Linked DNA regions of Macaca fascicularis. The main gene of each other region encodes a partner of the protein of the gene in region 2 in a complex. Links are inferred from orthologs where the notes say so. Each region holds a gene or a part of one and is shown on either strand. Other genes may lie near its edges.

Region 1 (3,749 bases), on a different chromosome or scaffold from region 2:
TAATTTTTGTATTTTTTGTAGAGATGGCGTTTCACCACGTTGCCCAGGCTGGTCTCAAAATCATTCAATACAGCAATAATCCTAACTCAGCTTCCCCAAGTGCTGGGATTACAGGTGTGAGCCACCACGCCTAGCCTGCAGTCTTTTCCTTTTTTTTTTTTTTCTGAGACAGAGTCTTGCTCTGTTGCCCAGACTAGAGTGCAGCGGCAGGATCTCGGCTCACTGCAACCTCTGCCTCCTGGGTTCAAGCAATTCTCCTGCCTCAGCTTCCTGAGTAGCTGGGACTACAGGCAACTGACACCATGCCTGGCTAATTTTTGTATTTTTAGTAGAGATAGGGTTTCACTATGTTGGCCAGGCTGGTCTTGAACTCCTGACCTCAAGTGATCTGCCCGCCTCTGCTTCCCCAAGCACTGGAATTACAGGTGTGAGTCACCGTGCCCTGCCTGCAGTCAACTTTTCAATCACATAAATCAGATCCCACAATGGTTCTGCACAATATATTTTAACTGCATCCCATCATATTTAGAAAAAGGCACAAGTCTTTCACCATGGTCCACAAGGCCCTACATGATCTGGCCCTGCCTACCTCTCTCCTTTGCTCACTTCATCCCAAACACATGGAACTTCCTGCTCTTCGTTGAACACACCAAGCTCATTTCCGCTTAAGGGCATTTGCAGTGCTATTCCCTCCTTCTGACACTCACTTCTCCCAGATTTCTGGTTTACTCCCTCTCTTCATTCAAGTCTCAGTTCAAATGCCATCTCCTCACAGAGGACTTTCACAACCGCCCTATTTAAAACTGAAGTCCCGAGGAAAGCGGATCGCTTGAGGTCAGGAGTTAGAGACCAACCTGGCCAACATGGTGAAACCCCGTCTCTACTAAAAATACAAAAAAAATTAGCCAGGGGTGGTGGCGCAACTGTAATCCCAGTTACTCCAGAGGCTGAGGCAGGAGAATTGCTTCAATCTGGGAAGTGGAGGCTGCAGTGAGCCGAGATCGTACCACTGCACTCCAGACTGGATGACAGAGTAAGACTCTGTCTCAAAAATAATAATAATAATAATAAAATAAAACTGAAGTCCCATCCCCTATTCCTTTACTCTTATTTTCCTGTATTCTTTAACACTGCCGCTTAATAGTTATATATTGTTTATCACCTACCCACTAGAATGGGGACGTGCATGTCTTTTTCACTGTAATTTGCAATATTCACCAGCACCTAGAACAGTGCCTGGCACACAGCAGCCTCACAATAAATATATATTAAATACATGCATTTCATTCTCACCAGAGTCATTCAATTCCTATGACCTTGAGTAATTCGTTGAGCAAACACTCAAGCTCTGATCCTTAAATAAAAGCAATAAAACAAAGTTTTGTCCTTGCCATCAAGTTCTACATATCCGGAGGCCAAGAACTATATATAGCAGGTCTTCCTATGGATCTAGGGCCGGAAAACTCTAGCTCCTCCAGACAAAACTTGTAGCAACCTGAACCATGAAATGAAGGGGTAGTAAATAGTCGCAGCAGTAAAAACGTTCAAAACAAGACCACATCTAAACGCCACCATAAGGTTTTAAAGGCCAGCTCTCTACCCTCCAATAACAGGTATATACCAACGCCCCAAATTATGACTCTTTTGGGTTTTTAACCCTTTTTCTGTGCTACAGATCCTCTGTCAGTCTGGTGAAAACTAGACCTGTCTTGAGACTAGTGCTTCTAAATGCATAAAACAAACAAAAACAGCTACGAAAGAAACCCACGCTACATTACAGGACCGCAGATGTAAAAGCCCCTCTGCTCTGTTTGCCGCAGTGGAAAAAAACGAGAAAATGTGGAAGGCCATAGAAGGAACCCAGGGAACTGAACCCCGCGTCCCTGGGCGCGTCCCCAATTCACTCTCAGTGGCAGGGAGACCCGGGGTTGCGACCCAGCCAGCCCTAGGGGGCGTGTCTGAGGACGCGGAGGAAGGAGACGCGGGCCCGGGTCTGGGAGGAAGGTGGGGGAAAATTCCAAAGCGCGCGGGGCCGCGCTCCCCACGGCGTGGCCCACCCGCGCCTCACCGGTCCCAGCAGTCCCCAGCAGCCGCTCGGGCACCCCTTGTAGGTCTTCATGGAGGCCGCGGAAGATCTCGTGCAGCTTCTCGAAATGCTCCGAGGAGGCGGCGGAGGCGGCCATGGCGCAGGACGCGCTCGAGCAGCGGCCACCCAGATTCGGGGCTCTGGGCCCTCTCCTAGCCCGGCGGTCAGCCGCCCAGTCCCGTGGCCATAACGGCGACCGCCGCACCACCGCTGCCCAGGACGAGGCTCTTCCGGGGCCGCAGAAGGGTCCTCCCGAGCCGGAACGCCCACCCTCTCTAGCCCGTGATTGCGGGAGCGCCGGCGCGAAGGCCTGACGGGAAGGCAGCAGACTGCGCGGCCTAGGCGACTCCTGAGGGAGCGAGCGGGGCGAATGGTAGTCGCAGAGCCCGAGAAGTGCCCGGTCCGGGGTGGGGAAAGGCCGCAGAGAAAGGGCCCTAGGGGACCTGCGGGACGGGCAGCTCGGCCGCCTTCCTCCTGGGCCCCGCCGGCCGGCCAGGGGCGGGCGCTGCAGTGCACGCCGGGGGATGTAGTTTGACTCGGAGAGCGTCTGGTGCCGGAGTCGCGCGTTGCCCGGGGTGCCAGGTTTAGCCCGCGAGGCGACAGCGGGCTTCGGCCCGATTTGATGTGTGTTTGCGTCTAGACGTCGTCCTCACTGTCATCGCGCTTTGCTTTGCCACCCTGACCCGAATTCCGCATTTCGCGTTTTGACCGAATGTTAGCTTTAGGCCCTGGAAAGAGCCGGGCCGGGGGCTCTGCCTGCAGTCGGGAGGTGGAGCACTTTTCCTGGAAGGCCCAGCGGCTCCCCAAGCTTTCAGAAGTGGAACTCGGCCGGGCGAGTGGCTCACGTCTGTAATCCCAGTACTTTGGGAGGCCGAGGTGGGAGGATTGCTTGAACCCAGTAGTTCGAGACCAGCCTGGTCACAATAGCGAGAGCACTACCGGAAACCCAAAATAGGAGCCGGGCAAGGTGGCGCGCACTTTTGGCCCCAGCTACCCCGGAGGCTGAAGCAGGAGGATTACTTGAGTCCACAAGGTTGAGATTGCAGAGTTCCCACCACTGCACTCCAGCTTGGGAGACTTTGCTCCCAAGTGGAGGGTGACCTTGTCTCCAAACGAACCCAAAAAACAAAAATTCAAAAGTGGAACCCAGTTAGGATGACCTCGAAATACTCTAGCTGCTAGGCTGCCTCGTGCACTTGTTCACAACAGGTGTTTGTCAAGCGTAGGCATTGCGAGGGATCTGGGCATGTTGGTGAATAAAACATTTACTCTCTGCTCCGGGGGAATTTATAATCTGGTGTGGAAGGTGGGCCTGGCTTCATTAGGTCTCATCTGCCACTAAGTGTCACTTGTTAACAATTACAAGGTCCTTTCCTGCACTCCATGGGTATAAATGCCGGTCTTCAGGTTGGGCATGGTGGCTCAAGCATTATCCCAGCACTTTGGGAGGCCGACGCGGGCGGATTACTTTAAGTCAGGAGTTCGAGACCAGCCTAGCCAACACGGTGAAACCCCCATCTCTGCTAAAATCACAAAAATTAGCCGAGCGTGGTGGTGGGCGCCTGTAAATCCCAGCTACTCGGGAGGCTAAGGCAGGAGAATCACCTGAACCCGGGAGGTAGTGGTTGCAGTGAGCTGAGATCATGCCACTGCACTCCAGCCT
Region 2 (3,649 bases):
AAATTGTAGCCATTATTAGCTATTATTAGCCTTCTTTCTAGGAACTAAATAGGCTCCATAAGAGCTATGACTTAATAAATCTTTTAGATCTCTTTGATGTCTAAACATAGTGAAGAGAAATAAAATTCTTTGAAGGCTTTATAAAAGGTCTTACTCATGCACGTATGATGTGTATCATGTATCCTGGGAAGACATCCAGACTCTCGGACAGACATTTATCTCTACACTGGTATTTTCTCAATACTAAGGTAGTCCATAGATGGCTTAATAGAATCATAATTTTTTAAAAGCTGCAGTAGGAGGGAGTATGTTCCCTCATCCTAGCACAAACAGTAAGGACAATATTATTTTTTTCAAAAAGGAATTATTCTAATTTATACATTACAAATGCTACCAAACTGATACATTAATTTTCTTTCTCTGGGCCAGACATGGTGGCTCACACCTATAATCCTAGTACTTTAGGAGGCCAAGGCAGGCAGATTACTTGAGACCAGGAGTTTGAGACCAGCCTGGACAACATGGTGAAACCCTGTCTCTGCTAAAAGTACAAAAAATTGGCCGGTTGGGGTGGCACATGCCTGTAATCCCAGCTACTCAGGAAGCTGAGGCATGAGAATCGCTTGAATCTGGGAGATGGAGATTGCAATGAGCCGAGATCATGCCATTGCACTCCAGTCTGGGCGACAGAGGGAGACTGTCTCAAAAAGAAAAAAATAAAATTTCTTTCTCGTACGCTCTGCCAGCATTACCTAAGCATTTTGAGAACAAACTCACTAAGAACAGGGTAGCAGCCCAAGTCTACAATGTAAGCCTTACTTCAAGTTGCCTGATAGAAGATTCTCTCTCATGAATAAGGCGGAGGTCATCCTCTGTAATTTCTTCATCCTGCACCTGCACTTGAGGTTGAGTTTGGCTAACAGAAAAAAATGAATGTGGAAAAAAACAAAGATTGGTATTCAAAACAATGAGATTCATTTCCTATTTAAGATATATTCATTAAATAGGACGTTTTACTCTTCAAAGTCGCAGAACTACTCACTTAAAAAATTCTAAGACTATAACAGATATATGAATAAAATTTTATTCATTTTTCATTTCACTTATATCATTTTATCTAACGTGAGTTTAGAGTTATTACTTAATTATTGGAAGCTATATTTGTCAACTGGGTATTTCTTCTTAGTTGATTTAAACCTCATATAAGGGAAAGTCTATATTATTAATTAAGTCCATAAACATTTATTTGGAAAATTTTATATATTTTATGATAAATACTTTATAATTAAATTTTTTTTCAAATTTACTCTGTTTTCAACATATAAACAACTTATATTGAAAGCTTTAATTCTGTTCCAGGGGCCTTAATGTATAAACTTTGAAAAATTACCTTTTGATCTGAAAAATGTTTTGTATTTCTTACCTTTCCCAGGATACAAGATTCCTTTCTTTTGAGCTGTCCTCAGGAAAACCGCCCTGAATGATTTAGTAACAGGATGGAATGAGAAGTGGCAAAGAAAGCAAAAATGAGAAAAAATAAACACTCATATTTTCCCTAATAATCTAAACGATTTATGTACATGTCTCTGTGTGTGTGTGTGTGTGTGTGTGTGTGTGTGTGTGTGTGTGGTGTGTGTAGAGAGAGAGAGAAAGAAGTTCTTGTTCTAATTTTTCAGGTCAACTGCTTCAAGTAATAACATAATTATAAGTAATTTTATATTCTAAGTAGACAAACACTAAACATTCTCAAGGGTCAAATAAGTATTATTTAGTTAAAGCTTAATGTAGTCTTGGAATTCATATGTTAATGAATAAGAAAACTCGTGATAGTTTGTAAGGGAATTTAAAATTAAATTAATTCAAAATTCTATTGTAAAGCTTCCTTTCATTTATTTTCTCCAGGCTCATGTTCATTTTCAATATTCAGACAACATAGTTGCGCCATTCATCTCCGTCATCTTGGTGTAATCCAGGAGGAAAGTGCTTTCTATACTAGTGTGTCCACAAGCAGAAAGCCTCCGTACCAAGACGATGTGAGAATACTACTCAGGGTTTGATCCCTCATCTTTTTTGACAAAATACGTCTCTATATTTTTATATAGTCTGTAATCTTCTGTACAATGACACAGAAAAAAAACCACAGTAATACATAATTATCATCTTCTCCAAAAATGGAGCAGAAAAGCATAAAAATGAATATTCAAGTGCTGATTTCCAAGTTAGTCACAGATCTTTATGACTTAAAAAATTATGCTACTATAGACTTTGATAGGACCCTTAGGAAGTAAGGGTCGTTTCTAGAATGTCTTTTAAAATACTCACAGACACTCTGGAACTGGCTCTTACTCGAGCAACAAACTCTTTCTCTCGCTCAGCCGCTTGCCTCTGAACCTTCTGGAAGTTTGTCAGTGATGCTGTGAACTCTGCCACTAAGCGATCCTTCTGTATTTTCCTTTGACGCTAGAGGAAAGAGAAGAAAAAGCCAACTAGAATCTAGCTGTGAAGTAAAACAGTTTGCAGTACTTGGTTCTTTATTTAATCCTGAAGTTTTCACTTGCTCCCCAATTACAGGGCCTTACGGATTAACTCTCAACAACATTCTGACAGTATGTCAAATACCGAGCATATTTAACTGGAGGCAAAAGACCCATTATGCTGGATTTCTCACCTCAAGTTTTCATGCTGCTAAAAACTAGCTCATTATTTTGAGGCTATTTTAAAGTAATTCCTTTTCAGGCAAATAAAGCCTTATACTTTTAGCTAAGTAATAACTTCCATTAAATAAGCAGGGAAATAAATATATGCCCCCAGGACACCTCACATCTTGAATGAGCCTGCATGTTCCACGCACTCAGCCCCGGAAGGCCAGGAAATAATTACTCAGGAAGCATTTTCTGAGAACTTACTTAATTATGGGTCAGGGCAAATGCATGGAAATAATTTTTGCTTTATTGAACCACAGGATACTACCTGAGCAATTAAATATAGTTTTGTGTTCTATGAACTAATCTCAAACAGAATTATTTTTGATTTCCTTTCTAGCATAATTTCCTTTCTAGCGTAACAGTTCAAAGATCCTACAACGTATTTGGTTTTTTTCACATTCAATGCATCAACAATGTGTCTTAAAGCTTGATACCTGTTCACTGGGGGTGGTGGGCAGAGATCCAAACTCTTTAATGTACTTATCTGTTTCTTTGGCAAGCTGGTTAGTATACTGCTGCTTCTGTTGCCTAAAGTGAGAAAGCACGCATTACAACCAAAGGACTAATACACTTCTTTAAGCTACAACTCTGTCATTTGAATCAACACTGACAAAGAGTTGTACAAAAATTGCCTTTTCATAAACTGGCTCTCAACTTTCTCTATCAAAAAAATTTCATATCCTATTCTTTGATAAATATTGAGCAAATATTACATGTCAGGTTCTTCACTGACACAGGGTAGGTGAGCTTAGAGAAACCAGTATCAATGACCATTTAGAAACACAGATGACTCAAATCAGAGGGAACTTGAAGGAGAGACTGTTGGATGTCTGATCCTTTGTTTGAGATACTGGGGATGTGGCAGCCCTTAATCTGCATCTCACACCTGGAAGGTCAGGTGAGCAAGAAAACATTTGTTGCCTTAGACTTTGCCCAGTTCCCAG

What was found. Proteins that work in one complex are often made in the same cells at the same time.
Region 1: STX7 (region 2) and VTI1B share a complex: the UniProt entries of both Homo sapiens proteins name them as parts of the SNARE complex. The link is inferred for Macaca fascicularis from reciprocal best matches to the Homo sapiens genes STX7 and VTI1B.

The regions. Positions count from the first base shown.
Region 1 is NC_088381.1:135,577,354-135,581,102, forward strand, and holds the start of VTI1B (vesicle transport through interaction with t-SNAREs homolog 1B), read right to left. Parts: upstream 2,338-3,749; 5' UTR 2,184-2,337; coding exon 2,069-2,183; intron 1-2,068. UniProt on the Homo sapiens protein: V-SNARE that mediates vesicle transport pathways through interactions with t-SNAREs on the target membrane. These interactions are proposed to mediate aspects of the specificity of vesicle trafficking and to promote fusion of the lipid bilayers.
Region 2 is NC_088378.1:36,426,490-36,430,138, forward strand, and holds part of STX7 (syntaxin-7), read right to left. Parts: intron 3,234-3,649; coding exon 3,140-3,233; intron 2,461-3,139; coding exon 2,323-2,460; intron 1,477-2,322; coding exon 1,424-1,476; intron 917-1,423; coding exon 820-916; intron 1-819. UniProt on the Homo sapiens protein: May be involved in protein trafficking from the plasma membrane to the early endosome (EE) as well as in homotypic fusion of endocytic organelles. Mediates the endocytic trafficking from early endosomes to late endosomes and lysosomes.